Linked DNA regions of Drosophila melanogaster. The protein of the gene in region 2 interacts with the protein of the main gene of each other region in a pairwise test. Each region holds a gene or a part of one and is shown on either strand. Other genes may lie near its edges. The genes, in order: CG11379, CG5382, hlk and Eglp4.

The links.
Region 1: the proteins of CG5382 (region 2) and CG11379 interact in a two-hybrid assay, tested with the Drosophila melanogaster proteins (one large-scale study listed by BioGRID).
Region 3: the proteins of CG5382 (region 2) and hlk interact in a two-hybrid assay, tested with the Drosophila melanogaster proteins (one large-scale study listed by BioGRID).
Region 4: the proteins of CG5382 (region 2) and Eglp4 interact in a two-hybrid assay, tested with the Drosophila melanogaster proteins (one large-scale study listed by BioGRID).

What each region holds. Positions count from the first base shown.
Region 1 is NC_004354.4:1,176,163-1,183,724, reverse strand, and holds CG11379 (uncharacterized protein), read right to left. Parts: upstream 3,561-7,562; 5' UTR 3,462-3,560; coding exon 2,856-3,461; 3' UTR 2,174-2,855; downstream 1-2,173. Other genes in the region: CG14627 (uncharacterized protein), read right to left, coding at 811-1,623.
Region 2 is NT_033777.3:22,363,649-22,371,382, reverse strand, and holds CG5382 (uncharacterized protein), read left to right. Parts: upstream 1-5,399; 5' UTR 5,400-5,569; coding exon 5,570-5,671; intron 5,672-5,734; coding exon 5,735-5,846; intron 5,847-5,913; coding exon 5,914-6,107; intron 6,108-6,162; coding exon 6,163-6,364; intron 6,365-6,425; coding exon 6,426-6,715; 3' UTR 6,716-6,810; downstream 6,811-7,734. Other genes in the region: PyK (pyruvate kinase), read right to left, coding at 1-605, 1,818-1,859; Polr3F (RNA polymerase III subunit F), read left to right, coding at 4,229-4,621, 4,680-5,168; CG7071 (uncharacterized protein), read right to left, coding at 6,876-7,186, 7,256-7,734.
Region 3 is NT_033778.4:6,736,297-6,744,847, forward strand, and holds the start of hlk (hulk), read right to left. Parts: upstream 4,377-8,551; 5' UTR 3,957-4,376; coding exon 3,743-3,956; intron 2,060-3,742; coding exon 1,903-2,059; intron 1,832-1,902; coding exon 1,665-1,831; intron 1,234-1,664; coding exon 1,198-1,233; intron 1-1,197. Other genes in the region: phtf, read left to right, coding at 6,448-6,473, 6,545-6,684, 6,741-7,248, 7,297-8,243, 8,303-8,481, 8,542-8,551.
Region 4 is NT_033778.4:23,605,309-23,613,000, forward strand, and holds Eglp4 (entomoglyceroporin 4), read right to left. Parts: upstream 3,623-7,692; 5' UTR 3,499-3,622; coding exon 2,824-3,498; intron 2,744-2,823; coding exon 2,525-2,743; 3' UTR 2,284-2,524; downstream 1-2,283. Other genes in the region: Eglp3 (entomoglyceroporin 3), read right to left, coding at 450-668, 733-1,326.

The DNA.
Region 1 (7,562 bases), on a different chromosome or scaffold from region 2:
GCCCTATTTCGATTTGAGCCAGTAAATTCCAAATAAATTTGTCAAATTGTGACAATTAGGAGTAGACAGACCAAATGGCTGGCAGCACTGACGCAACTCCAAGGTTTTGTGGCGCAGCACACACTCTCCAACTGAACCATACTTAACCGTCTCTGTTCCGGTCGGGCGCGAAATAGTGTGTTTTGGTCACTTTCACGCAAATGAAAGAGAAACAAAAACAATGGCCTGCATTCTGCACAAGACCAAGACGACCTTCGGCTGGGGGTTCCAGCCTAAAAGGTGTGTTTGTTTGCTCACTGTCCCCTATTTGGCGCTGTGCAAATAAACAGTCTAGATACGATAACGTCTGGATTTCATTTGTGTTTATTTGGGTTTCGTTAGGTTGGTTTGTTGGGTCTTCTTAGCACGGCGGTGTTTGGGTTGGTGTGAAAACGAAACGAAAGGTGGAAGGCCGCTGAAGAACGACACCAGTGACTCAGATAAAAGGGAGTTATGTAAATTGAATGGGAAGCAAACTGTTTTGCCATATGTGCTATATACTGTCCATTATACTGCTGCTTTTTCCATTATATTAATCGCGGCTCTTGAATTATGGGAAAACCAATTTCTAAAATCACAAGATGGTCGGGTAGGTTGTACTCGTATCGTATTGTGTAACATTTCAAGGTGGAAAGGCTTAGATTGAATTGAGTGGGATATAGACTTGCATAAAATAATCACAGGCTCACTTTACATATATACATATAAGGCTTTATTCCGGAAGAGAAAAAGAGGCTCGAACGTTGCGAGACTTTGGCGGTAGCTGACATCCTATGACCTGGTCCGCAGATACACATGTGGACTATTGACGGAGGCGTCATGGCCTCCGGTCAGTCCCAACGAGGCGGCTGGCAAGTACTCGTTGAGATTAAGCGAGAACGAGGGCGGGAAGTGTTTGTCCTTGGCCTCGCGATTGATCCGATAGGTATTGCGGAAGGCGGCGGCTGGATTGATGGACCCACTGGCGTAACCCTGCAGAGCTGCGTAGTTGGGCGGCAGAGCACTCAAAACAGTGGCCGTTCGTCCTCCGAAGTCTGGCTGTGCGCCGGCGGAGATTGCAGGTTGAGATCCGCTGGCTGCTGCGGCAGCCGAGAGGTACGGCGAAATGGGCACTATGATCGGGCGGGTGGGTATCAGCTGAAGGTACTGAACCGAGTTTCCGGATCCATCCTGGATTGCCTGGGCCGGAAGATACTGCATGAGCATGGGAGTAGACGGTAAACTGGACACACTTGGTGTTCCCGCCGTTTGCATGGGCGTGAAGTTGGTCTCCATCTCGGGCATCTTGTACGAGGGCTTGAATGCCGGATCCGTTTGTGATGGAATCTGGCCCTGAAGCTGATTTTGGACTTGAGCCTGGTTCTGGGCCATGTCATAGCCACTGGCATAGGCACTCAGCGAGTTCAGGTGGGCCTCCTGTTGCTGTTGCTGCTGCTGTTGCACCTGTGGCAGGCCATTCGGGGACTTGGAACCCTTACTAGCTATCTCCGGACTCGAAACGGGGGAACCCTGAAGTAGGGGCATCACCAGGAGCTGCAGCAGGAACAGCTGGCAATGGATGTGAATGTGTCGGTGGCACAGCATCTACACGTAGCGAATAAGAGAAAAGTTAAGGGATCGTGTTCATGAAAAATATTTGCGATAATATATTTTACTTGTTAACCCAAAGGATATTATAAAATAACATTTTGCTGCTTATACCCGAAGCTGATTTTCAGGACGCGAAGTGCATCCGAAATGGAAAAATTGTATCGTAAGCTGCACTTGTAACTGAACTATATCTGCTATAGCAGCTTAGTTAATTCTGCAACACGAAGGTCAGATATTTTGGAACACCTTTCGATTTTATTATAAGCACAGAAAAAAAAAGTATGCGTATTTCACCTCGCTGAATTTTCTCTGCGATTTGAGTTTGAATGCTGCCTGGGAGCGTGGAAAACACTTGCACTTTTCCTGGCGAGCGACGCGCTTTGATTAACACGGCTGCATTGCCAGCCAGGCTTTTATATCGCTCGACGACCCGACCAATTTCCCGCAATTGGCAACAGGCTGCGGCTGCAGTTTTAACCAGTGCGAAACACGACAGCGCGCCAGCAAGCAACAGCATTTGGCTGGCACTGCCTTGGAAGCATTTCAGCGGCATTGTTGCGTGTGCCAGGCTCTTGCATGTCGCTAGTTGCAAGTTGCAAGTTGCTAGTTGCCAGTTGCTATTTGCTAGTTGCCAGTTGCTGTTTGCCGTCGTGGTGTCCATCGCTTTTGGCTACGCTTCAAGTTCAAGTTTACAGCCATCGATCGCGCATCAGAGTAATGGTTTCGTTTTCGCTTTCGATCGACTTGCTTTGCTTTACTTTGAGCCGCTGGGTTCCGTCTTCCGAATCCGAAACCGAAACCGAATCGGTTGTTTGGGGGCGTGTCGCTTTTGGATCTCGGATCGGTCCTCTTCCGCATTGCATATGGGTACGGCTACGGCTAACGAGTTTACAAGTCTTTTTCGGGGGGATGACAGCCCCCAGTGGTTGGCAGTTTGGCCGGTAGTTGTCCGCTTCAAATTGGCTTCATGGATTCGGTCAGAAAGTGGTCTTGCGATTTAATATATGTTCGATTTTTGAGTTTATTTTTTTCTTAAAGAAGCTAAAAGAAACTACGCTTTGAATCGAAATTTACTATTATGGTTATTCATAATTCAATTTATGATGCAGCCCGTTGTGTCCCACTGTGCCTATTAAAACGCTTTTAGTATAATTTGAACCATAAATTTAGCTATTGACTGAGGTAGTGTGATATGGCTGTGGAAGTGGAATGGTCACCCCTCCGTCTCAATTGGCAAAGCTCTGTGCGCTTCCCTGGGATTGGGTCTGCATTGGAGTGCCGGGCTCGAGACTTCCGAAGATCAGCGCGGAGCAGCGGCGATGAAGGGTGCGACGCCAGTCGAGCATCCCGCAGCGGAGCTTCTGGGGCAACGCGGTGGCCCATAGGGAAAGCCACAGAAGACATGCGCCGATCAGGCCGGTAGTCAGGCCCAAAGTCCAGTACTCGCAGACCAGGAAGGTTTGCTCCTCGACGGCCAAGGCCTGGAGTATGCCCACAATGGCGCACTGGCAGAGGGACTCTATGCGATGCCACAGTTTGCTAAGGGTCAGATCCAGCACCAAACAGCAGACGCCTGTCTCCAGTAAGAGCGATGCCCAGGACGACTCATTGCCGCGAAGGTTTCGATTCCCATTCCTGAACCGCTGATCGGCGGGCAGGGCACTTGAAAACATCCTCACCCCGTGAAGAAGGGTCACCACGCAGGCGGAAAAGAGCCAGGCGCCCAAGAGAGGAGCAGCGGAGCCGGGAGATTCGCGAAAGTAGTAGTAGTACGAGATGCCCAGTACCGAGTGAAGCAACACCGCCATGATCAAGGCCATTAGTCGAGCCATCTCCAGATGTCCTCCTAGGTGTACACTTCCAGTTTTACGGGAGTAAATTCGGGTCAGAAAGCCTTAAACTGAATTATTCAACTGACTTTTAAAGCAGCAGTCACTACTTGGTTAACTCCGAACACTTGTGTACAAGTATTCCTTGTTATTTTAAGAAGTGATACAAAAAGCAAGTTGTAAACTCTGTTAAAGTTTTTAAAGGCAATATTTAATATATTCGATGTTATCTTTTCAATTTATAATTTATATATTATGATTTATACAGCATTCTTGCGTGGCAGAATACCCCATCGGTAATGGCATAGGTTTCCTCTTTGTGTAATCACAGTCACTGTCTGCGTCACAGTTGAAGTCACAGACACCGCGCCAATTGCAATTATCACCACAAGTCAAACAGGCTCAGATGTCAAGGCCTTGTTTTCCTCATTTTCAGTGGGCTCATTACGTGAGGCAAGTGGAAATGGGAAATGTGCTCGATAGTAGTCAGCTTACTTTCATTTTTGTTTCGGCCAAAGCTTTGCGGCTCCAACTTTTGGACTTTAAAGCTTGAGCATGATCATGGAGAAACTCATAGATAAGCTCTTCCAGATCTTTATATGTACAATAATATATATGTACGTCTGGTAAACCAAGATGATTTATAAAATGATTAGGCTGGTTGGCATGGAATAAAATTTCTTGCATGCACTTGCTCCGCACTGTTCTCTGCCGACATGACGTCCCAATCCTGGTGATGCTGCTCCGCTTGCTCTGTCAGCAAGTCATAAATCTTCGGCTTCAACTGAACTTGATACATCAAAATGTTGGTCAAATTAAATTTCTTGCGCCTCGTCCTTTCCCGCACAGCTCGCCCCCGCCCCGCCCGCTGCTCCTTGATTCTCCCAGGGATTTCACTAGGAGCAGCTGCCAAGTAATTCGTCAAGCTGCTTTGTCCTCCTCCAGCGGCTGTTCTTATCTCATCTCTGGGTGAGCATTGTTGCTCCGCTCCTCTGTGCTGTGCTGTGCTGTTCTGTACTGTTCATCTGTCTGACTCCACCACCTACCAATCTACCTACCGACCTACCACCCCCATCCCTGTATCCCTGTATCGCCCCGTTTTGGCTGGCTTTCATGTCAACTGCATTTTTCTTTTGCTGTGTTGCTTGTTGTGTGCTGTGCGCTTTTTCACTGCTTTAAACCACTTAATGGGTTTTTTTTATGTGGACCTGGGTTAGATGGAAAAGCGCAAGGAGTGGGAGGCGGCCTGGCGGTGCCTCGGGGCTATTCATGCTGCAGCTTTCTTGTAGCTTCATTCACAAAGACTTGCAATTCATCAAATCTCGTTAGCCTCGGCTTTTATAGAAAATCTGCAGCTGCTTTTGCTTCTGCTTTTCTTTTCGGGGTTTCGGGGGGCTGTGCTCCTCTCATTCATCTGCCACGCCCACGGACACGGAGTGGGCGTGGCCGAAGCTTCAGCACCGATTCGAATCCCCGTCCGCATCCGCTTTACCATTTCCAAACGGCATCCTATCCTCTGGGATCCTCTGTCATTATTGACTGGCAACGACTTTAAGGCAACTTTTGTTCCGCTCCCATGCGCTTAACTTTAAGGGCTTTACCTTCTCCACCTGAGCTGAGCTCCGATCCATGCTTCTTCCTTTGAGCTAATGAAAAGTGTGTGTCTCCCAAAATGGAGTGGAATCCTTGCAGCTGCAGCTTGCATCATCAGGCTCTCCCAGCGAATAGCTCGTCTAAATAAAAGTAAACCAAAGCTCTGCCAAGGAGCAACAATAAACGAGTTGGCCAATGCATTTTTAATGCAACCAACCACCCAACCACCTGTACAAATCCGTTAGGGAGGAATGGGGATGCTCTCGAGGTTCTCTAGGTAGCCTCAAAAATGTTTCCAGAATTGGGGCACATGTTGCCACCACATTGCGATTAAATGACCCTTTTGTGCTTCCTTCACAACAATTTTCTGGGATCAGCACTATGATTCGGCAACACTGAGAGGTGTGGAACATGTGGGTAAATAGAAATTTGTAAATACGAAGAAAATCAGTTATTCAACACTGGTCTGGTGTGGGACCAACACTGTTCGCATAATATATGCATTTGACTCACCTAGCAAACAACGCGCTACCAATACTGTTTTGTCTGTTAGCCAAGTGATGGCAAAGCATTTGCGCCGCACTTTGGCTAAGTGGGAGAAGGCGAGCACTTCGAGCTGGGAAGCAGCTGCTCCTGGGCACCTCCAGCCTGCCACCAACTCAGCCTGCTTCTTCATTTGCTCCCTCTTGGCAAAGAGCCCCATATCACGCACAGGCAAACATTGCAAGGACCCCAAATGCATTCAATTAACAATTTCTCCGGCCCTAGACCTGGCACACAACTTTGCTGGCTGCTGGAACTGGGAACTAAAAAAGTGGGAACAGGAGGCGGTGGTGGCTTTTAATCAAAAACTTGCATTTGCCAAGTGGCAGGGCAACTTTTTGGGCCAAGTTTGTGCGGCGCCAGAAGTGGGTAAACTTCTCCAAATTGTGACGTCGACAAAAGTCAAATCGTGCCGACTCGCAGCACCCTGAAGGCCTCACATGTTCATGACGCTGCACGATTGCAATCAGGGGAATGTGTTTTGGGGTGCGGAATTAAAAGATACCGTATTAGAAGTACCATGATGCAATAATATAAATTAATATATATTTTTTTATATCAACCCGCCCGCTTCCCGCTTCCAACAATATTGTATCTACATATGATCCAGATTATTTCTAATGACCTATGCATATGCGAGTGATTTACGAGTAAATACAGTTGTTGCTTGCATGCGCGTGAATTAGGGCTTCATTTATGAATCATAATGCAATCATTGATTACGATTCGTTACGCGTTGTGGCAGCAACCATTCTGGACGTTGTCAGTCAGCAAGTGAATGCCGTAAATTGCCAGGAGGGGACTATAGACAGACTCTGTGGAAATTCGAAGCATTGCTGAGAAATGAGCGTAACCGAAGCCAAACACCCGCATGGAGCAAATGGAGCTCCACCTTCAGGCCATCCCCACTCGTTTTCCCTTCTGTTTGCCTCGCCCACTCCATTTGAAAAGTACTTTTAAAGGACGAGGACGTGGAGGGGTTGGGATGGAGGATGGAGGATGGCTGGCGGGCTCGTGCCATTTAGCAAAAGTAATTAAGCGTCAATGCGTTTCATTTGTGTTACTTTTCTGGGCAATTACGGCGCAAAGTTTGCAGTTTTGAAGTAGTGCGGCGCAAAATGTTCATTGTTAAAGCCAGACCGACTCACCAGACGACGAAAAAGATTTTATTCCGCCGCGCGAGAATCGATCGCAAAAAGTGGATACTTGGTGTTTGATATTGCGTCAACAGGTGAGCCCAGCGTCCTGGACCGACAGACTGAACTGTCGACTGCTATCAGCGTTTTCTACTCCATCATCATTATGGTAACCGTCATTGGGGCTCGGAAGCAACATTTTACCAACTACCGGGAATCCGTCCACTGGCCACTGCAATGTGCTAAAAGTGTTTCTCATTAAAAAGTTGTTTCACAATTTTATTATCCTGTCGTTACCGAGGTATTTGTAGTCCAGAGTCCGTAGTCATCTCCCTCGACTTCATCCTTGTCCTTGTCCAGGTGCTCGTTGCTTCAATGTGACAAGCTGAGCTCAACCGGGGTGACAATGTCAATAAAGCAAACTTCGCACCCGGCGAAAAGCCCTGCGGACCCCCCTCATAAAATAATTTTTAAATTACTTGTAAAAATAACAGCTAAAGCAGGAGCAAAAAGTTTCAATAAAAGTAGGGTAAACAAAAATTATAGCGAGCGGGAGGAAACAGAACGGAGCAAAACAAAAGCATTTACGATGCTCAAGGGATGGAAACCAGGAATTATCGTTGCATAGTTTGGCGGACACAATTTACACAGAAATTAAGCTTTCACAAGTATTTTTACTCTGCGTAAAAGCGCGAGACTTTGACCGCAAAGATCGTTGGGTTTTACACGGCAAATCCAAATGGCAAAGCGATTAACATTCCAGCTTACAGATCGATGAAAGCAATCCAATCGTTTCGTAAATACAATTATTATGCGACCGGATAGGTCCTAC
Region 2 (7,734 bases):
CCTGGCAGGTTCACACCCTTGCGGGAACCCAGAGAGCCGCCGTTCTCCACCTCGCAGGTGAGGGAATCCTTGCCTACCTCGCGGACAATCAGTGAGATCAGACCGTCATCGACGAACACCCGGTTGCCGGGCTTCACCACATTGACAATGTTCTCGTAGTCCACGTACACAATCTCCAGAGAGCCCTTCTCCAGGAATTCCTTGTTGGTGGTCAGCTTGATCTTCTCGCCCTTCTTCAGCTCAATCTCGGCGGTGCCGCTGCCTCCGATCAGACCGGTACGGATCTCGGGCCCCTTGGTGTCCAGGGCAATGGCCACGGGGTGTTCGTAGCCCAGCTTGGCCGAGTAGTTCTTCACCGCCTGGCGCACATTGGCCACGGTGGCGGCATGGTACTCGTGCGATCCGTGAGAGAAGTTCATGCGCGCGATGTTCATGCCGGTGGCCATCATCTTCTCCAGCATCTCCACGCTGCTGGAGGCAGGTCCGATGGTGCACACGATTCCGGACAGACGCACATGGGGCACTGGCGAGTCGAACTGCAGACGGCACATGTGCTCCAGTTGGGTATCAGCTCCTGCGGCCATGTTTTGGGGTACTTCGTTGGGCTGCAAAATGAAAACTATACTTAATTCTGTTTGTTTTCATTTCTCTTCATATTTATAAACAGCGCGAATTGATTCTTTATTTTTAGAAATCAACACGCTGATTGCCAACTTTTGCAATAAAACAGGTTAAAGTCGTGTTTATTGATTTTAAGCATTTATTTCCAATTTACGCTAATAATCAGAAGTCTCTTCCTAGCAACAAGAAACCCTACGCGTTTTAAAAACTACCAAGTTCTAGCAAAAAATAAAAAAACCAACTAGTTTTATGATATTAAAATCATGCCCTGGTGAAGTCATGCAATGCGAAACACATTTAGGACCCCAACATAAACGTGGCGAATGCGTGCAAAACTCATGATAACCCTTCTTCATATCAACGAATATAAATCGATACAGTTTTTATCGACCAAATTAAATGTTTACCACCGGCTTATAAATAGAACCAAACGGGCCAAATACGGCGATTTAAGCCCAAATGCTCGCCGCACCAATCATTTTTCATGACCAAAAGGAATGATTGAAATATTTGTGAACTGACAGATAAAATAGAGCTATTTACATATAAAGGTAATGATTTTAAATAATCTAATAATCCTAATTAAAATGATAACGTTATATATTAACAGTATTTTATCATTCTGATGGTACTTAGTAGCATGTGTAAATAAGCCATTGATAAAACTTGACATATAAAATGTTATAATCGATTACCAATATTAAATGATGCTGTTGCGTTAAATACTATTTGTTAACTCTTACGATTGCTTAAATTATCAAAATATTTATTCGCACTGTGCATGTTATGTTTTGAAAAACGCAAAGCTGTCGCTGCAGAATTCGCTGATGTAAACAAAGTGCGTGTACTTGAAGTGCTTGAGTGGATGGGCGTGGGTGGTTAGGGGTGTCCCCCGTAGAGAGGACCTGAGAAAGGCAGAGCGGAAGAGAGAGTGGCAGAGAGAAAGCAGCAGGCGGAAGAAAAGTGTGCAGCGAAGCCGACACCGGCAGCGCTGCACATCTGCACCGCCGAAGGTCAGTTCTGCCGACCGCGACCGACAGAATTTTCTCAGCTGCAGTTGCATAATTGTCTTTTCCCACATTTTCCTCCCCAATGACTCTGATATCGGGCCAACTCGCCAGCCAACTGATTATGGCGATTATGAATATCTTTATGGACCAACTCTGGGGGCTTCCATTACCGTGACATTGGCCTACCTTCAGCTGCGGTGCCTCATCGTAGATGGTTACGTTCACCATTTTGTTGCCTACCGAACGGGTAGTATGTAACCAACGGGAATCGCACTTGGGATCGAGATCGGTCTGACGATATAGACGACTATATCTTCTTGCAACTGCACACGCAACTCCACGCACAACAACACACACAACGCAGCGGCTAGCCGAATGCAATATTTTGGCAATATATCTTCCAAGTTTGAGACGAAAATCGGGATATATGGAAAATCGGACGCGGCGAGGACGAGACAAAAAGTTCGACTGCCACACAGATTTTTTGGCAAGCGGAAATTTTCCTAGCCGCAGAAAAAGCGCTCAGAATGTCGGTAGCCCGACAGCAAAGAGAGCATAAACGCAGAGGAGAGAGAGTTTGGGCCCAAGAGGCAAGAGGCGGACGCAACAGGCCACCCCTAAAGAGACAACATTGGTGAGCGAGCAAGAAGGGTATATTCAAGGGTATGCTCGACCAGGGACTGCCAGCTGCTCAGTCGACCAAGTGGCCTTACCGCTATTCCCAATATAATTCCGAGTGAAATATAACCTTAATCTTACAATACTGCATATAAAAATTAATAAAGATATTATCAAATGGAAAAGATAGAGGCTCAAATTATCATTCGATATTTAAGTATAAGTAAAGTGTTTAGCAGGATCAAGATATGCTATTGTGCCAACATACCCTAACTCCCTTCGCGTAAGGGGATGCGAAAAGTTTATCCAAAAAGGAAGCTCCGAAGTTAACTGGCGCAAAGCTCCGTTGCTAGGCTGGCCGGCAATCGGATAGAACAGAAGGTTCAACGATCCATTACGATTATTAATTTTTGCATATAAATTTGCATTGTACAGAAGTATGTGTATATATGATTATATGGACACGTGATGTCAGTATGTGTGTGCGTGGTAAACAAAAAACCGATCATCAGCTGTTAGACGGCGCTTATCAGCTGGCAATACAGAAAAAAAGCAACGCGGAAAAGAGCCCACTGTCCAACTGTCCCACTTCCACCTAGAATTCCACTGTGCTGACCTTGACAACCTAATCTCCTCCACAGAAAACAGCTTCGTCTCGCTCGCACTGCCATTATGCAAGTGCGTGAGCATCTACTTTCCTTTTATCTTCCGCTCTCTCTTTCGCTCATCGTGAGTGACACGCGCAGAAACCGTGCAAGTAAAGCTCGCCGGCCTGCAGCTTTTGTCGCCGGAAAACGCACGAGAAAAGTTCTGAAAGTGAAAGTGCTTTTCCAGGCTTCAGTCAATATGTAATGAGTACTATGTGCCGTACTATTTAACCTTGAACTTGTGGATAAAGGACGTTAGCGCCGTTAACATTTTGAAGCTCGGGTCTGCAACAACAAATGCTTATCACTGAGACGCCGAAACAGCAACAAAATTTCAAATATAATTCAGACAATCCGGCACAGAGCAAATTTATGCAAAATTACTCATCATCGCTGAAAGCGTCGTCGTCACAGAGCAATTAAACAATTGCGATAGTGGAAGTTTACAGCGGTTCAAGATTATTATTGCTGCATTATTTCCGATGGCATGTTTAATAGGGTGTGATTGCGATGGTGTAGGTTATTTTACTTGTGGCGCGCTCCGCATGGAATGACTTCTATTTCACCTTTACACATTTCGCTAACGAGGTTCTTTTGAGATTGTATGGGTGTGCGAATTGAATTCGCAGCCGTGCTTGTGTGTATGTGTTTTGTGAGGCGGCAAACGCAATTCTACATAATGTGGAGAAATTGCTTGCATCATCAACAACAGCAAAAACAAATGTCTTGCCCCCGCCAATTTCGTTAGCAAAATTTCTAGCGTATTATAATGGAATGATGTTTAGCTTGAGGTCGTATCAAGAAGATCTGATAATTACCTGTTTTTGACAGTAAAGGTGAACTCGCGGAAAGATGTATTTGCTCTTCCTGTTTTGGAATTATTTTAATTCAATTTAAATGCACAGGCAGCGAACACTCCAATCAGAAACAGTGCGTCCGGCGATCTGTTCGAAAAAACAGTTGGCACCAATGAGCCTAAAAAAGCCACTCGTTTTTAAAATAAATACCATTTGGTATATACATACCAGATTCACGATATAACATTTGGGGTCTTCGGAAAGCTTTAAATTTTATTTAAAGCAATTTGTAATAAAGCCTAAAACATATGCTCCTTATTTATCCTCATTTATTCAGTTGCGTAAAGTATTATTTTTAATAGAACAAACTTATATTTTTAAAATTGGTTTGTGATTTTTGTTATTTTTTAGCTTCTTCTTAGCAGCGGTAGCCATTCGCCCGGAACCGTTTGTTTTTGTTTTGCTTTTCACGGTAAGCGTGTTGTTTTTCTCGATTTAATTGAATTTTAAATAACAAATTTTCGAGAATAGAAAAATGGCCACTGAGGTGTCGCAACTTTTGCTGGCGGTGGTCCAGGGCATCCCAGCCGGTGCCACCAACGATGACCTGACCAAGGCGCTGCCCGATGTGCCGGCGGCCACGCGGGTGGAAGCTTTGAATATACTGCTGCAGGAGGGCGGGATCGAGATCCTGAAGAAGGGTGAAAAGCTGGTGTACCGTGCCAAGGACCCGGAAAAGAAGAGTGCCCTGCCCAAGGATGCGGACAATGAGGAGAAGGTCGTCTACGGCATTGTTGAGGAGGGCGGCAACAAAGGCATCTGGATTAGGGATATACGTATGAAGTCCAACCTGAACATGATACAGCTCAACAAGATCCTCAAGAACCTAGAAACCAAGAAGCTCATCAAGGCGGTCAAGTCGGTGAACGTAGGTTCTATGATCCCATATTCCAAGTTCAATGTGATTCCAAATTTTCTTCGCGCAGGCCAGCAAAAAGAAAGTGTACATGCTGTACAACCTAGAGCCGGATCTCTCCATTACGGGAGGAGCCTGGTACCAGGATCAGGACTTTGAGGTGGAGTTTGTGGATGTGCTCAACCAGCAGTGCCTGCGCTTTCTGCAAATGAAACGCGACAGTGCGGAAAAGAAGCGCGAGGGGCCACTGGCCTTCAAGCAGATGTCTTGCTGCACGGTGAACGAGGTTCAGAAGTTCATCTCGGACTTGGGCATCAGCAAGGTTAATCTGGCGGAGGCCGATCTGGAAACAATTCTCAAAACAGTGGTGTACGACGGCAATGCGGAGCGAGTGCGCCAGCAGGATGGATCCTTCGTCTACCGGGCGGTGAACGCCCCACTTCCTCCGACTGGTCTGGTCCAGATGCCATGTGGCATTTGTCCCGTCATCAAAAACTGCTCCAATTGTGGCGATGTAACTGCTATAACTTGTGAATATATGCGAGATTGGTTGGATTAGGGATTAGCTCGAAAACTCTGGATTTTATTTTATATTAAGTATTACAAATTGAACTTATTGTTTATTAAGCTTTTTGTAGCACAAACATTATTAACTCTTAAATGTTATGGTTACCATAAAAAAAAGGAAAATTTGAAACCGATTTTTTAAATCGCAAACACATATCGTATTTCATCATTCATCGCTACGATATTCGCAGAATATGTCAGCTGGTTGCCAATCGCCCGGAACGCATGAACAGATACGTGGCTGTTGAATATGTGAATGAAAACTCGAAAATTCCGACAAAAGCTGCGAAACGAAATAAAATTTAATTTTATTGAGGCGTTATTATGCGATAGCTGTCCCAAGGCCGCCAAGTGCAATTCCTCCGCCGCCTTAGGAACCCCGAATTTAAGGAAATGGGTTTGTGCAAGTGCCCCAAGCGCCTGGTGACCAACCAGTTTTGCTTTGAGCATCGAGTCAATGTTTGCGAACACTGTATGGTTCAGTCTCATCCAAAGGTAAGGATTCCTGTCCTCTAGTTTTATGGATGCTTGGAATACACCATATCCACTCTTTTTCAGTGCATTGTGCAGTCGTATCTGCAGTGGCTGCGGGACAGCGACTACATCTCCAACTGCACTCTGTGCGGCACCACATTGGAGCAGGGCGATTGCGTGCGCCTCGTCTGCTACCGTAGGGATCTGCCAGTTTTGAGCTAATCCAGACACCACACACTTACCCATAATCCTGCCATTTCCAGATGTTTTCCACTGGGACTGCCTGAACGCCCGCCAAGCCGCACTGCCTGCCAACACAGCCCCTCGGGGTCACCAGTGCCCCGCCTGCAGTGTGGAGATCTTTCCCAACGCCAACCTGGTCTCCCCGGTGGCCGATGCTCTGAAGAGTTTCCTGTCGCAGGTTAACTGGGGCAGAAATGGCCTGGGACTCGCCCTGGTAAGCATTCCGGGCAGTAAGCTTGTAATCAATTTAAATGTTGAATCTTTCCCAGCTCTCTGAGGAGCAGAGCAGCAGTCTGAAGGCCATTAAGCCCAAGGTGGCAAGCCAGGCGGCTGTCAGCAACATGACCAAAGTGCACCACATCCATTCCGGTGGCGAGCGAGAGCGCACGAAGCCCAATGGCCATGACGCCGTGAGCCCACATTCCGTGCTCCTAATGGATGCATTTAATCCCCCAAGTGCGGGCGACTACGGTGCGCATAATCTAGCATACACTTTGAGTCATATTATAATTATAATCTTACGCACCTGCAGCCAGCAGCAGAAGACCGCTGCTGCCCCGTCAGTCGCCAATTGGTGGGACAGATCGAGACGATAATAAGTACCAGCGCCGCACTCCTGCGGAATTGTTCTCGCGATGGACACGCCGCTTCTATGCGCCCTCCTCGCGGCCGCCGTGGCGTCGCACTTGGTTCCTGGTGACCGCCGGCATTTTGGCCTTTGTCTTGTTCGTCTATCTTATGGCCTGGCTGGGTCGCGGAGGATCTGATGCCGTGGACGAGGGCTGGAATAACCCCAATCCACAGCCGAACCACTACGAATAGGGTGTGCATTCACGGTCGAAATAAGCATACGTAGCATATAATCGATATCCAAGTCCCCGATTCCGAAAGAATAAAACTTTTACAGCTATTTATATAACCTAACATTGCAAAGCGAAATAATACAACGACAAAGAACGATTTTTACTCGCAGATCATCTATCTAGTCAACATGGGGTTTCAATGTCTGGACTTGACTTCCCTCGGCGGGCGGGGTGCGCTTAGCCGGCGTCGATGGCTGCGGCTTACGTTTGGGCGCGTCCAAGACCTCATCGTACTCGTGCAGCTTCTTGGCCAGGAAGTACATCTCAGCCAGGGCTATGATGAGCGCTACAATCACGCCCAGCAAGATGCGAAAGCCGAAAGGCAGCGGGCCCACCATCAAATTGACGCCGAAAAAGCCGAACGTAAAGCCAGCGGCCACGGAGAAGATGAACTGCACCACGGCAATGATTTGCTTGTTAAGGCTCTTAACTGAAAGGGAAGGGAAGAAGAAAAAGGTTTTAAAAGGGCGGATCTAACAAGCTGGGCGTATTCACTTACTCTGATAGCTGATAGTGTCCTCTGGATAGTGTTTTAAGCCGGCATCCACATTCTTGGTCATTTTGAGGTAATCCCGATTTTGTTGCTCTGCGCGAAGACGTTGGCAGCGCGCTTCTAGCTCAGGATTGCGCGGCTTCATTTCGTTTTCGGGCAGGAGCAGATCACAGGACTCAATTAGCTGATGCAGAAAGACTTGGCAGTGATCCTGACGACGCAGTTCAGCCAGTGTTTTTGAGAGCCAGTGCAGGTCGGTTAAGTATAGGAAATGTTTAACCTCCCTTGTTGACTTTGCGTCATCACTATCCTTGACCCCTGAATCTGGTTCCGATTTATCCTTAGCAGGTTCTTCTGGTTTGTCGGCTAGGTTTTCAGTTAGTTTTGTCAACAGCTCGTAATTGAGTTTTGGTCGTTTGTACTCCAAGCCCGCATCCTTGATAATCCTAATAGAGGTGGGCAGTGTGTGGCCTCTTTGCTTCATA
Region 3 (8,551 bases), on a different chromosome or scaffold from region 2:
GTTTTTTGTATGCTGTCTGCGTTTGATAAAAATACCTATGGATAGTGTAGCGGATGCTACAGAAATGTTCTTGTGAATTCACACACTTGCCATGTGAGTGTGGCTATAGTTAGTTGTTTCAGAATTAAGCAAAAATAACAGCAGCAGCAAGAACAGCGAAAAATCATTTTGTTGGCCCACCAACTGCTTGAGTTTTCTATTTTTAACACTAAAATTGTAGGTGGCTGTGTCGGAAAGAGACGGATGGCCACGAATACTTTGTTGTTGGCCAACACATCACCGTGTGTGTATGTATGTACGTTGTACATATATATGTACATATGTATGCCACATCTGCAAGTATTGAATTTATGCTTTTTTATAGGTAAATTCCTTCCTTTCTCCAAAATTCACACAAATTCGAATATCGTCTCCGGGGAAAATCTCCCACGCTCGACAATTTCTATATTGTGATCCAACTTCAATAGATCAGTGCGAATCCCCAATTTTCATCCTGCTATCCACCGGCTTGTCCAAATCACAGGGTTAGGGATTGGGTTGTGATTCGTGGTGTGGCGGATGAGAAGTTTTGTGGGGGGGGGGTTATAGAGAAGAAGACGTCGTGCCGACAAAAACATAATCTGGCGCCGAGCCCAGACATTCATCTGCATTGCTTCTGTTGTTGTAATGTTTATTATTATACGTATACGTAATATGTGTGTCTGCCTTGGTCGATAGCGAACGCGAAAATGAGAGATCTTGTTTTTTTAAAAAATTACTAAGAATTACTACTCGTACAGTGGTGATTGTATATATTTAAGGTTGTGTCCTTTACCTAGGCCATCGACGTTAACTGGTCAGCAGGAGAGCTTAAGTAAAGATTGAATAAAATTGGTTTGGCCCACGCTAATTGGTGCATTGTAAACTGGAATCTGAATCCCTAGCGTTCGATTTTAGCAAGCACCAACACACACTGGATTTTTCGGTTATTTGGGTTATGCAGTCAATAAGGAAATACATATTTACATATCGAATTGCGGGCATTGCGGAATAATCTTTTCATTTCAACTTTGGTATTACTGGAATCAGGAAAATTATGGTGGAATAAGGGTAAAACATTGTCAATGAATTAATTTGGGGGAAACAAAGTTTCAAAGTAGGTAATTATAAGGAGAGTGCAAGATAGAAGGTTCCCAGTACTGTTCACGGAAAACTTACCCATAACCCTGGGCGGGCATGTTTCATGATCTGGACCTGCAGTCGTTTGATAGAATAGATATTGGATTGATAAATTGTCCTTTTGCATTTTGGCTCAAAGAGGGTTCGAAACACCGCCGGAAGAGAAATTATTATTATATATAGATAGCTATATTAAATGTTAAGTATGCCGCCACTTAGCTTCGGTTAGTTACAAGTAGTATACGTATTTATAGATAGAGTACAGACATACGCAAAAGATATTGATTTATGGAATAGAATGTACAGAATAGGTAGTTTTGAAAGTAGTTCTAGTACCTAGCTGTATGATTTTTAGTCACAAGAGAGCTAAACTGTTTGTGTTCGCTAAAAACTGCAACTGCTTTGAAAAAGAATATCATCATTTCAAGTGTCCGACACTAGAGTGTTCGGAGTGCTAAACGTTTGAAGAACTATGTATGTGCTACGGTTAAGTCATTCACACTTACAGAACAGAACGGCTACGAAGTCGGTGTCCTCGATGATCTTCTGCAATATCTTGGCATTGACCTCCTCGATGCGATCGGGCAAGTCCATGGCCTCCAAGGAGGTGAGGAAATCGAGCACTCCTTCCTCGTCCATGAGATCCCCATCATATATGATGGGCTCCTTTTCCCTGCGGTTTTCGAGATATGGATTCGATTCGATTAGGTCTTGTGTCTTGTTTGTGGTGGGGGAATTACCTACCTGAAGTAGGTGAGGGCGGGGAAGTTCTTGATGCCATACTGTTTGGCTAGTCGTTTGTCGTTGATTTTCACGAAGTCCACACCGAAGGAGTCGGTGTCATCGTCGATTTTCTCGAGTTCCGCTAAAACCTTATCACAGGTCACGCAGCTTCGCGCATCTGAAATCGTAGAAGCCGAGCGTGTGAGTACTAAAGATCGATTATATGTAGATACCGGCAGCGATTGACAGTCGGCAACTGCTGCATGTGACGCCACAAGAGACCATAACTAAATTCCCATTCGAATTGAAAGCCCAAAGCCCAAAGCCCTGGCAGAAGTGGAGCCAAATGCCGCAAAGATTATTCATTCCTATATAGTAGATGCAGGATGCATCATCGGACCGCGCAATCGAAAATAAGCCTGAATGAATGAATGAAATGACAGCAGCGCCAGGCCAATTCTGTGCTATTAATGCGGCAGCAACTGCCAACAAATATGCTGAAATTCTAAATTAATTCATAAAATTCATGCGGCCACTATTAGGGAAATGAATTGCAGCCCACAAAAGACCACCGTTGGCCCACGTCTCTACAAACGTTCTGGTTGGTTAAACGGCAGACCAGACTGCAAAATCGGAATCATTAATACATCGCCGAGTAAACAGCCATTTCGATTGTTTGGCAATCCGTTCAAAACAATCTTTCACTGCTTGGAAAGTAATCGCGAGTTGGCCGAATACCCCCCCCCCCTGCCTACTCCATACTCCTAATGCTGTTATTTACGGGCTCCAACACTAAGGTGTTTCCTGTGTACACCAGGTGCTTTGGAAAATCCACTGCAGGATGTTTGATTTAAAATCATCAGAGTGCTATCGCATGCAGTGCAATAACATAAATAGCGTTCACTTGAAATAATAAACACATTTAGCTTATCGATAGAATTCGTTTACATATTGAACTATCTGCGATTTAATTGCCAAAACTATTCAATGCTCTGCCATTTGCGTAGATATTCCATGATTATTTCGATTGTCGGCCAGCGTCATTGGGCCTGAGGCTTTTGGACTTAAAATATTTTCATTGTCAACAATTATTTTTGGAATTGCCGCCAATGCTAATGAAACACATCGTGAGGTATATGTACATATACATATAAAGGAGAATATTACAATCCGAAGATCACTTTCGTGTTTATTAACTTTGACATTGGGGAACAGCGCGCAAATGCCCAATCTATATTTAAACTGATTAAAGAGATTTAATAAATAAGCCATTCTTTCACGCGAACGGTAACCATTTTTTTTTTTTTTTTTTTTTTGGTTACCCAAAAACAGGTCACCAATGGGACCCACTGGACAAGGGGATTGAAAATAAATTTAAAAGGGCAGGAAATCTGTTGGCAACTGCTGGAAGGAAATTAAATTCTGCTTCATAGGTATGTAGGTATATTTTGTGCCAAAAGTTTGCGCCAAAATAGACTAAAAAACCGAAAATATAAAAAGCTGCAAAGACGATTTCTCACAGCCAAGAGAGATTTCTCTACTCATAAACAGATCGCAAAGATAGCGCAGAAATGAAAAAAATATAGAAAAGGGAAGGCAGCACAGACTACTGGCAACTCGGGGAGGAAATGAAGAAATAGAAAAAAAATAAAAAATTAACCGAATGAAAATCGCGGACATTTCGAGCAACGAATTTTTCACATATTTTCATTTGTATGTGAATTTTTAGAATTTTCACTAGCGAAAATTTATATAATATGGCTTCTGTTACTATTTCGAGTCCGGTACGGTCCGGTCTGACGATAAATGAGCGGTGCCCGGACGACCCCGAGAGCACTGGCATAACCACCCTCCCACTTACACCAGAAAACGGCCACGTAATCCTTGTCGGCCAGGAGCTTCTCCAGCTGCTTGGCATTGACCTCCTCGATGACGGCCTCCGGCTCCGGAGGCGCCACTGGCTGCGAGCCCTTCTTGTTGTTGTTGTTGCCTGCACCACTCACATGTCCGGGAAAACTCAGGGCCAGCAGAGCACACACGAGCAGCGAGAGAGTCTTGAGGCGGGTGAAAGTCATCCTGCGATCGGTTACGGTTCTGATGTGCTTTAGGCCCTTAACGCGAACATGCGTGCGCGTGTCTGCTCGTTTTGGTGTGTTCTACAGTTTATAGTGTTATAATTGTATAATTGATTCGTTCTCGTCGTTTGGGGTCTTTCGTTATTAAAATTTGTATTCCTTTGAGAATCGGTCACTATTTTTAGTTGATAATGGTGTTTCTTCTTTCGCAATTTATTTTATGTATAACAACTTTTTGTTCACTGATACATATATACGGGGTTCGTATATGCACAGGCGAGATATATGTGGGGTATATACGAGAATAATTAGATTATATATGTGGTTTCTTGCTTCTATTAATTGAACGTTTTCCGCGGACTGTACTCTTTGCTCTTCAGATTTTGTTCCACTCCGTGCAGAGGTCCGCTCGCAACTGAAATTATTTTGGTGGAATCTCGGTGCCATTCAAGAGGCCTTGCCCGAGCTTTAGGGATCGGGATCGTGGACTTCGTGCTTTGGCGCAGCTTTTCCGCTCCCCCGAAAAGCTTTCGCGTCGAGCACAGGAGCGCCAATCGAGTGAGCAGTGTGGTGAAATCAGGCAAAGAGCAAGAGTTTCCCTTTTGAATTGCAGTTCTCTGTTTATGCATTCGGTGCAAACAAGAAAGTGACTACGAATAGTCCTATAAAAACAAACTCGGAGAATCGCTTTCATTATGCGCTACAACAATTCACAGTACTTTGTATTCCCCATTTTCCCTTTGGTAAACACTTTTAACAATGTGTTTCGAGCTAACATTTTGTCAACGTTATGCTTAGTCTAAAATAGAAAGGATTAAACTTCCCTTTGCTAAGAGACATAACGTGACATTGTTGAATCTTTAAGTTTTATAGTTCCAAAAATCTATGCGTTTATAGAGATAGGAGGACATGAACAGATCGAATCGGTTAATGATCCTCAATAAGAATAAATGTAAATTCTAGGGACGGAAACGTTTCCTTCCAGCAGTCAACTATTATGTAAAAATCAACAAATATACCAAATTTTGAATAGGATCTAGAGAATGATTTAAAGTTACTGTTAAATAAGCCTTCTCGAAAACTGTTGGTCATCGAAAACATGGAAGATGAGACCGGATTTACAAGTGGTTTTCTGTCCTTAATAGCTTTATTTGTATTGATTAATGTAAGAATTCTCAAATTCTAAAGATTGGCATCAAAACCTGATCCAACTAATAATGAATCCTTTTCAACTGGTTATCAACTATGACCTTTGTTAACGTCAAACCACCCTCGCGAATTATTTGGAGTTCGTTTCTGCAACACACACAAAAATGAAAGTCTCGGTATCTTGGTACCTGTATTAATGTTATGGAGGTTTATTCAATATTTTACAATAAAGCTAGGCAAGTGATAAATCAGAAATGTTTTAATCAATTCGGATATGTTCAAAAAATCTAGTGATGCAGTTGCACTTTTTCTCGGAGACTCCCTTGTTTATAATTTGCAGGACAAATAAACAAAAATAATACAGCCTATTTTGGGCTTTCAAACAAACAACATGGCCGCCATTTGGATTTGAATAGCTATCGATAGGTGCCGTCGGCCAGCTGACAATCCATCCACTGCCTATCGATAATATCTAGCTGAGCAAGATGTACGGATTTGTGAGCACACACTTTAGTTTTTCGTTAGGAACGGGACGTTCGTTCTGTTGCGCACCAAATTTTTTCGGACCCAATGCAAATGCAAACGCTTTTGCGGCGTGTGTAGTGCATTCAAAATTACCAGATACCCAACGGGATCCAAAGTTCCCAGAGCAGTGGCACCGGAATCGATGCGACCAGCAGTCAGCGGAAGCGTAAGAAATTCGCGCCTAGGTGGACAAAAATCGATCTGTGACGCGGTTTAAACCAAGGTAACTCCGCTATCCATGAATAAAATCAGCTCTTCCCACGGGTGCTTCCGCCATGGGGCCACAGTGCGGGTCCTGTGGCCAATTCACCTTGAACCCAGTATTGCAGAAGGGGCCGCATACCAAGTCCAATTCCCTGCGCTTGTGTGTATACCTGCGCCTCTTCCGCATGTGTGTGCATAAACATTGACGCCCACCCGCCCGATAAACAGCTGTTAGACCGATTGCCGTCCGCTTCCCCAGATTTCCAAGGCGGTCGAGGCGGAAAAGGGGAAGGCCCCTTATGAGCGTAGGCTTGACGGGGGCGGGCCCGTGTTTGTGGCAAGGCGAAGGTGAAAGTCATCAGCTGATATGGGCCAGCCTGCTAAACCCGTTATGCAGAGCAGCTGTTCGACGCCAACTTCATATGTGGGACAAAATCCCAGCCGCGAACTCACATACTGGGTTCCCCAGTTATATCCGGATAGCGGGCACCTCGCTATCGCAGGCCGATATAAATTAGAGGCTTTCGCGCTGCAGATGTGAGGCCTAATTGAAGATTTCTTTGTTCGTTCGCAGGCTGCACGACACTTCGAGGACTTTTATGTGATTATTACTATGAAATTGGATGAAATAGTTGCATGGTAAGCGAACAATGCTTCATTACTCTCTCCCTCTCCGGACTATCAAATTATCCGCTGTTGAATTTTTGTAGGTACCAGAAGAGAATCGGCACCTATGACAAGCAAGAATGGGAAAAGACCGTCGAACAGAGGATATTGGACGGCTTCAATAGTGTCAATTTAAAAAACACCAAGCTGAAGACGGAGCTAATCGATGTGGACTTGGTGCGAGGTGTGTTTAACCTGACTGACCCCAAATAGTGCCCATAATTGAAACACATTTTTTAGGTTCCACGTTCCCTAAGGCCAAGCCCAAGCAGTCGTTACTCACTGTGATACGCCTGGCCATTCTGCGCTATGTCCTGCTGCCCCTCTATGCCCAGTGGTGGGTCAAGCAGACCACGCCAAACGCCTTCGGCTTCATCCTTGTGCTTTACCTCACACAGTTAACCAACTGGGCTATCTACGTGCTTCACAGCAGTCGCATAGTGCCCCTTGACTATGAGAAGCCGCCAAATGGAACCCTGCTTCAGGCAGAGGCAGATGGAGATGCCTCCGATAAGGATGCAGATAAGGAGTCCGAGGAACATGCCGCCCTCCTCAGTGCCCTGCTTATTCCGTGCGCCCTAAGCTTGCTGATCAGTCTCATCCACTCACAAATTGTAGCCACTAACACCGCCTCGGGTGTCTCTGGCGGGAGTAGCAAGAACAAGCTGCGTCGCATATCTGCAAGCTACTTAAGCGACAAAGCAGCAACCAGGGAGAACCGGGTGCGACGTCGCAAGAAGATTGTGCGGTAAGAACGAAGCTCTTTTCGGAACCAAATATTGAATTCTTTTTTTAGAGTTCGACAAGTGGAGGCTGACTTGTCCCAGGCCAGCAGTAACATATCACTTCCAAACAGAAGAACCGCAACCAGCACAATCGAAGTTCTTCCCAGACCGGTCACGCCTTTGCCTTCACCAACAGTTACCTGTGCCACGGTGCCAGACCCCACCACGCCGACTACGCCTTCGCCATCTGTTATCAGGCGGAGCACCAACGAGGAGACCTATTTGACAACGACTGCAATCAGCCCACTAACGCAACCGCTGGCAGCCATAGACGCATGCTACGATCTCAGCAGAAAGGCAGGGGGAGCTGCTCCCGAAAGCCCCAAAAAGCGCAACGTCAACTGGCACACGCCTATTCAGATATACGCTACCTACGAGCTGGGCGAAGAGCCGTGCTCCAGCAGAAAAGTCGCAGAAGAAAGTGCGCCTGAGTCGGTTGGAGAAAGATTGTGTTCCGTCAAGCCAGACTACCAGACGCGTCGAAACATCGGGGAGGACGATGGCTTCGAGAGTCTGAATGGAAAGAGCTCAAGTGGAGAGGACAACAACCATTCGCCTTTGCCAAACGCGGTGGCTGTTGCGGCTCCACCAGCTCCTGTTCAGACCAATCAGTTGCGTCTGCGATTAAACACAACAAACGGTGTGACCGCCAGTGCTTCTCCAACCGAGAAGAAACCCCAGTCGCGCGGCAATGAATCCTCAACGAGTTGCGCCGAATCGGATGAGTGCGATGATGCCGACATTATGTCCAGTCCCGCCTCGGGCTGTAACCAAGAGTGCACCACTTCTGCCACCGACTGGCTGGGGGTGACGACAAATAGCGAAGACTGCAGTTACACCTCTGATCTGGATCACTCTGACGGGGGCTTGAAGCACACGGCCTTTAGCGACGAAGATCCTGGAGAGCTGGACATCACCCCTACCACTATACTAAATCCACATAGCAGCCTCGACCGTAGTATGTATTACCAACCAAATTTGCATCTTCGTTCACGCTATAACATTGAACTTATAAAGTTAGCTGCACCATTTGGGATCAGCGAGATGCCAAAAAGGCGCAGCTTTCCGTGCTGGAGATCGCGTCTTGCATAATCGAACGCGTGGACTCAATGGGCGAGGCCAACGACTACATCTACATAGGCGTGGTCTTCTCTTTCCTGCTCACATTGATTCCCATCTTCTGCCGTCTCTGCGAGGTATGTTGCCGGGAAGGTTTTGGTGGAGGAGACTACTTATTACTGGTCAAATGCACTCAGGTCACACTCG
Region 4 (7,692 bases), on a different chromosome or scaffold from region 2:
GCTCCATTCACTCGAGTGCGTATGTCCACTTTATGACGTTTTAAGGCAATTCAAAATGTGACAAGGCACTAAGTTAGTGTCCCACTAGAAAGGGGGCTATAAGCCATCTAATCAATATGATTTAAGCCGCCTGTTGTAATGGTTGAAACGCAGAACATTTCATTCGCTATCAAGCTGAGCAATTCTAAAAGGGGCTACTTATCAATGGCCATTGATAATGATTTTCAAAGACCTATGGACCTATTGATATATATGACAAACTCGACAAACTTTCCAGCGAATACGAGCCCCCAAAAAAATGGCCAATATCGCCGCTCATCCCAATTGTATGCTATGGAAATAATACAAGGTGGTGCTTAATTACTTAATCGACCTAAATATTTTGTGGCTCTATTATTACAACATATTCGTATATATATATAGTTTATTCGATAAGATTCAATTCACACCTATTGCACTATAACCTCTCCGATCATTCGTATCTTGGCATCGGAAGTCCTCAGATCGATCTCCTCGTCGCCCTTAAAGGCCATGCGATAGATCAGCGAGGTCACAGCTCCTGCCACCAAAGGACCCACCCAGTAGATCCAGTGGTGTGCCCAGGAGTCGTTCCAAACAGCTGGACCCAGTGATCTGGTCGGATTCATGCTGGCTCCCGTGAAGAGACCCTAAAAGCAACAGACTTCCCATTAAGTAACACTTCGCAACTTTGAAACGCACCGAAATACCAACCGCTGTGAGGATCAGACAGGAGACGGTGAGACCGAATCTCACGGGCACCGAATCCTGCAGCTTGGCGTTCCGTGGATCCCACACCGAACAGGCCACCATGACCAGGCAGCAGGTAATGAGGAACTCGATGAAGACCCCCTGAAGTACGCTGATTCCGGGGGCCAGAATTGTCACACAAACACCCGACGGGTTGTCCACACCCTTGATGGAGTTCCCAGGCAGAACAGCCACCAGGAGACCATAGCCTATCAGGGCTCCGGCAGCCTGGGCCACAAAGTAAGCAATGGCCCGGATCCAACCGATTGCGCCGTAGAGCCAGGCAGCCAGGGTGATGGCCGGATTTAAGTGGGCACCGGAAACGGAGCCGAAGCACTGGATGGCGATGAGAATGGCCAGGCCGAAGGTGAGGCCACTGCGAAAGTGCGAATTCTGGAACAGCGGCGTTTCCACACAGCCCATGCAGGCTATGAAAACGAAGACGGCAGTCGCCGCCAGTTCACCGAAGAAGCAGGCTATCGCACTCCTTTGGTGTCCTTCCAGGCGCCACCTGGCGTTCGGATTGGACTCCTGCGATTTTTGCTTCTGTTGCGACATGCTGACGGAACTCTACTGCCGCAATTTTGGGCGGCTGCCCAAGTGACCCAACGTGCCAGCAAAATTTACGGCAATCAATCAAAATCCATTATAAAACCTTAATGCTAATTATCGAGCGCAGATTTGGGAGCAGCTCCCGCCCACCCATTCAGGATGGATCAATCCATCAAGGCGATTTTCGGGGGGCTTTGCTCAGCCGTAATTATCGGCCTGATAAGCGCCACTGCCATTTCGCCCGATTTGTGCTCAATCTTATCTCATTAAGATCTTTATCGAACGGCGAACGGGGTCGCCGAGACCTGGCCAATACTCGTACTTCTTGTGTGCCAGCCAGTGTCTGAATCGCTACAACAAGGCCAATAAACCTGGCCTATGGTGTTCGAAAGCTACTCGAAGGAATCACCCCGTGATTTCCAGAAATTCCAGAAGAGTGATGCAAATCCAGCATTAGCATATCACCCATAGCACATAGTCCCCTTTAAACCACATAGAACCACATATATCATTTGTGCTTCGTATACGGACTATAGACCCGAATGGAGTACGTAACGTACAATAACTGCATATTGTTGGTATATTTTGGCTTTATTTGGCTGATACGCGCGTCTCATTCGCAGCCTGCTGATAACGTTTTTTAGCCACCATTTGATTGGTCGATTTGGAGGTACTAAGATATTCGAATATCTTATGAACAGATTTTCCAAAGACCGCTTAAGCTGATGGGCTTTTTTCACTTTCGATTCCTGGAAAAAGCTTATTGGTATTTTTAAGCCCGGAAGTTACTTAGAGCTAATCAAAGCAAATACCTCGTTATTGAAGAATGAAAAGCTTTTAGATAATATGGACTCAACATGTTTTAAGATGGCCCAGAAGAGCAGAACTTCAGGTATCAAATAACTACCAATATCTTGTGTAGAATTTCTTAAAACCATAAAAATAATTTACTTGTTTTGTTTTGGTTTTAGATTAAAAATCTCGATGTTCTTTATTTCTGAAGGCAATTAGTGTTTTCACCAAGACGTTTATCGTTTCAAGGGCTTATGTAAGTGTGTGCACTTGGTTCGCCTTTTGAAACGTTCGAGCCACTTTGTGAAGACACTGCTAACATTAGCGTACAACGAATGCATTATTTTAAAATTCGGCATCTTAGATATTAACTAAATTAGTTAGGGCTTTTCCTACAGCAATGTCTTTGGCCTTACGACAGCTGGACGTCCTCCAGTTGCCGCAGCTTCTCATTGGAGGTGATCTCCGCCTCAACCACCTCGCGGCGGAAGACGACCTTGTAGGCGTAGGCGGTGATGGCGGAGGAGCTCAGCGGGGCCAGCCAGTAGATCCAGTTGCTCTCGAAGTGCTTGTTCCACAGGGCGGGGGCGAACGACCTGGCCGGGTTCATGCTGCCGCCGGTGAAGGGACCCTAAAACCAATGGTAGGGAACGAGGTTAATAATCCGTTTCGAGGCAGGTAAGGATTAGCCAACTGTTCGCTTTAACTTACGGCAGCGCAGGCGAGACAGGCGATGGCCAGGCCAAATCGAATGCCCACGGAGTCATGGAACTTGGAGTTGCGCGGATCCCACACTCCGCAGCAGACGATGACCAGGATGGAGGTGATTACGAACTCGATGCCGAGGGCCTGGCCCGTGGTTACGCTGGTGTGGGGCAAGGTCACGCAGAGCCCAGCGCCCACCGTAAGTGTGGGCGAGGGAAGCAGGACCATGAGCAGGCCGTAGCCGATGAAGGCGCCCAGCATCTGGGCGGCGAAGTAGGCAAATGCCATGCGCAGGGTGACCATCTCGTAGATGTAGGCGGCCACGGTCACGGCGGGATTCAGATGGGCACCGGAGACGCAGCCAAAGCACTGGATGGCGATGAGGACGGCGAAGCCGAAGTTCAGCACAATCTGCAGATGGTTGTTGGGAAAGAGGTCCGTCTTCACGCAACCCATGCAGCCCAGGAAGACCAGGATGCCGGTGCCGATGAGCTCGCCGAGGAAGGCGGAGATTTTGTCCAGCGTCGATCCCTTCATTTTGAAGACCTTACAGCAACTGAAATGGTCAGAGAAGCGCTTGAATAATGCCACACTAAAAAGCGAGCTACCCTCTCTGTCGCACGCCATCGTCCATCTCTTTCTCGACTCTAAGTAGACCTGCTTAGGAACTTCATCAATCATATCCTATCTAAGACCATCCTATCGTTTCGCAAAGCCCTCCTCGATTTGCACCTAATCCCCGCGACACACTTCTACAATCTCAACTATTGTGCAACTTTGTAGTTAGTTTGTCAAGCTTCTAGACCTTTGCAACTGCTGTTCTCCTTCGGCTGCCTGGACGATTTCCTGCTGGTTTTCCACCCCTTGCGGATCCATCCCCTGCTGCTCGAGGTTCATTGACTTGGCATCGATTTTCCAAACACCCTTTTTTGGAAGCACAACTTATGCTGCTGATCCGACAAACGATGCCTGCTGCGGGAATGCCATCGATGGCTGGACTGACATGAAGTAGCCGTGTACTAAATATAGTAGACTTGTGATTGCCGTTCGGCTGTCAATTGGGTTTATAGATAAATGGCCGAAAAAATGCGAATCAAATCACGACATGGCCATAAAACAATAACCAATCTTTTTCAACCTTATCGCCTGAGCGCCACTCGAGTCAATTGGAGTTCACTACGTTGCGAATTAATCCGTTTATTGTGATTGGTAAATCCCTCTTTCTGGTAGCCAGAACTCTTGTTTTTTGTTTTTTGAATTTCTTTGGTTTCGAGTGCCAGATAATTACCGAATCTCGTGGCTCATTTTGACACTTGTCCAATTCTTTGAGATCGCACTATATAATCAATCTTTTCCGTAGCTGGTGAAAATTCACAAAGCGGCAGCGCGACTGTCAATGTCAATCTGAGGCGGTGGAGTAGCCATAGGCAAATATTTATATCTGTGTCTATATAATATTGCGTAAATCAAAAGCCCATTTTTAGCCCCTGTGAGAGAGCAGCAACACACACAGATACACACACACACATATGAAGGGGACCGACCACAAGCACACACACACACACACACACACAAAGGCGTGGAAATTAGCGAATCCTACTGGTGAGCATAAAAAAGTCAAGTGTCCAGAATTTATGAGCATCTTAAACGCTCATTCGCTGCTCTCGTTCGCTTTTGCGATTATCTCTGGAGCGATGCTCCTTCTCGCTCCCACTCTTCCTTTACCAGTCACCTGGCTTAAATCATTATAAAATGGTAGAAACAATACGGATGATATTCCATGGAAACAAGGTTAGATATTAACACTTGGTGTGCAACTGACATACTGGTTTTGCTCTATCGAATTCATTCGACTTATTCACAGCATTTTATGAGAATTATAATATTAAAGGTGGTCCTTACATTTGTTTTTTAAGTAAATTATCATTTTCATTTAACTTGTTTCTTACTATTTGTTTGCCATGAGAAAGGCAAATCTGCTAAGCAATGATTGCTAGAATTAGTAGTAACCATAGTTCCTAAAATACGACATTTTCATTGCGTGTCATTCAAACTTAGCACTAAACTGTAATTGATAGCGAAAATCCCCATAATTATTTTCAGTGTAGTTGGTCGGTGGGCGGTGGGCATAACACTGTTATGCTGTGCAAGTGCGTGACGCGCTCGCAATTGAAGCAGGCGGCATATTGCGTATTGATAACAGCAGAGTGGCACACTATCAATTACCACCGTCGCTTCGATTCCTATCAATTGCAATTGCTGCAATTGAGGATGCGTTGCGTGAATCGGGCTACCACGCAATGTGGCAAACAAATCACGGCAAATCTCGGCACGCCTGTCGATCAAATTGCACGCAATTTGCGTAGTTATGTGTCTCAATAACAATTGGATCGTCAATAAATAATAACAATTTAAAGCAAATATTTTCAAAAGCCCTGCTGTTGCACACACACCCAGTACACACAGTGGCTCAGGTGATCAGAACTTTTGACCCTCACTGACCACGCCTAATGTTTTCCATTGCTTTCTCGCCATAACACACATTGGCATTGCCACAGAAAACGGTGGAGAAAATAGCACTGCTGGTTCATTTGCGTTTTGGCCCTTGGCCAACGGCAAATGTTTGTGTTTGGCCAACTCATTGACAGTTGGTTGGTCAAAAGAGAGCGACACGTTTTGGCAAGAGACAAAGAGATTAAAGGCAAAGCAGTAAACACGCGATGGATCGAAAGTTTAAAAATAAATCAAACACACCATCCGATCGGCAGCACAATAATAATAATAATAATTTAATTACCACCTGCACCTTTATCATATTTTCCATGCCCAGAAGGATCACGTATCATCCATGGGATCGCTGCATGGGCCACGATTTTCAATGGCCCGAGGGCCTAATTGACAACAAACCCCGTTTGGGATGATGGATCTTAATTATTATGATCCATTCTCAGCGTTTGTCTAAGTGATGGGACGTGACTGGGCGTTTCTACGTTCATATTTTGGGGAGTGCTAATCGCTGATGTTAACGGAAGTGGGGACTGTTAATTAACAGAGCGGTGCGATAAGAACGGGCGACTCCTCGGAGCTTCTCAAAAGCTCAGCTGCTAGGATGCGCAACTTTAACGAAGCTTCGATCGTTAGCTTTCGGCGAGCTTTTCGATGAGCTTCCTTATCACGCGGCATTATTATTAGCTAATTATGACTAAGTTGGTAATAGAGTGATAAGCCTTCGGCCAGAAGCTCGTCGTAAAAAACTTGTTAGCCTGAAGAACAGCTAATCAATCCGTGCCGATAAGCCTCACCCGCTGTTTGCTGATAGCTGTGGCTGTAGCTGCTTAAGAAGTGATTTTTGCTAGTGGCCCTAAAATGTTGGCCATAAACCATACGCCGCAACCACTGTCACTCGCACTGATAACCGATATCGAGCTGAGTGAGTGGTGATGGTGTATTGGGATTGGCGGTGTCTGGCGGCGCAATATCACAGGCTTAATTTGGCCATAATTGGGCCAACTCAAATCGGATTTACTCGTCAGACTTTTGACATCGCCCCGCATTTACGGCTCTTCCAAAGTGCGATAGTGATCGGTTGCCGACTTATTGATGTGCAACAACAACAACGTATACCCCTTTATGGCATTCCAATTGCCAGCTGGATCGTAATTGAAGCTCATTATGGTGCCACAGGCGGAAGCCTTAGTGCCCATTGACCAAGATCCATGGCAGCCTCTTCCTAGCCCCAAGGTTCTGCTTCTTATCTGTGCGGCTTATCAGGGCAATGGAAACTGCTGACGTTTTGGGTTGCGCAACAGGTTGTTGGCATCGCCACCTCGCAGTGCTGCCCCCTTTTATTTACGGCTGTAAATACGGGGGGCAATTAAGACGTGGTCAACAATACGGCAAGATCCACGCACACGGCTCGAAAATGTCAGGTGCTCTAGCAGCCGAGAAGGTCTCTGATTTCGTGGCTAAAACTGTGGGGCTTCGTCTTATCAGCTGGCCACGAGGTTGGGCCACTCGAAAGGCGATTGCTCAGACTATGATTTGTGAAAGGCATTGTAATGACTAGACAGACAATTTGCTAATTACTGGCAAATAACTCTTATTTCTGTTGCTCTGATAGCACTCGGCAGTGACCTAGGCTACGAATTCCTTTTGCTCTTCCACGAAGGCTGGTCAGCAGTTAATTTATGGTTCGATGTGGCCTCTAATCGTGATATTTTTTATTTTTGCTGGCAATACGTATGTATATGCAGTCCATTTGATAATGGCGATAAGGATGGAGTGACTCTGGAATTTGGCTGAAGCTCATGCATTATGCAACGGCCCCGTCCTAAAGTCTTGAATTGGAACTACACTCTGCTCAATGGCGGCTGGGACACCGCCGTTGATAACCTGCTAACCCCACGGCAGAGCACCTTATCAAGTGGCAAAGCAACCAAGTTAATCGCAGTTCCGAGTGGCTGCGGTTTGTCAAGCACAAATACAATGGTGGCGTGGGATTGAATGACATCAACCAACTGTGAAGAATCACCGGGTTTTGGCCAAGTCAGGCACAATTACCATACAGGAACTGCCATAACAGACACTTGAACTGGCCCAATTTGAGTCGGGCCAACTGTTCCGTGTCCGACCGGTTTCTCAATCATATGATGTGACTTTACAACTGGGCCAAATCTCGATCGATTCGTTTAATAGAGCCAACAATCTGGATCTGGCGATGGTGCACGCGATTCGCAACTCGATTGATTTATCAAATTTGATTAGCACAAACTCGTGAGTTCCCCCCTCCAAAAGATCTTAATCGAAGGCATGTGCCAACTTATATAAAATCGAGACTTCGTTTAGTTAGTCACTAATTACTTGAACAGTTTGGTC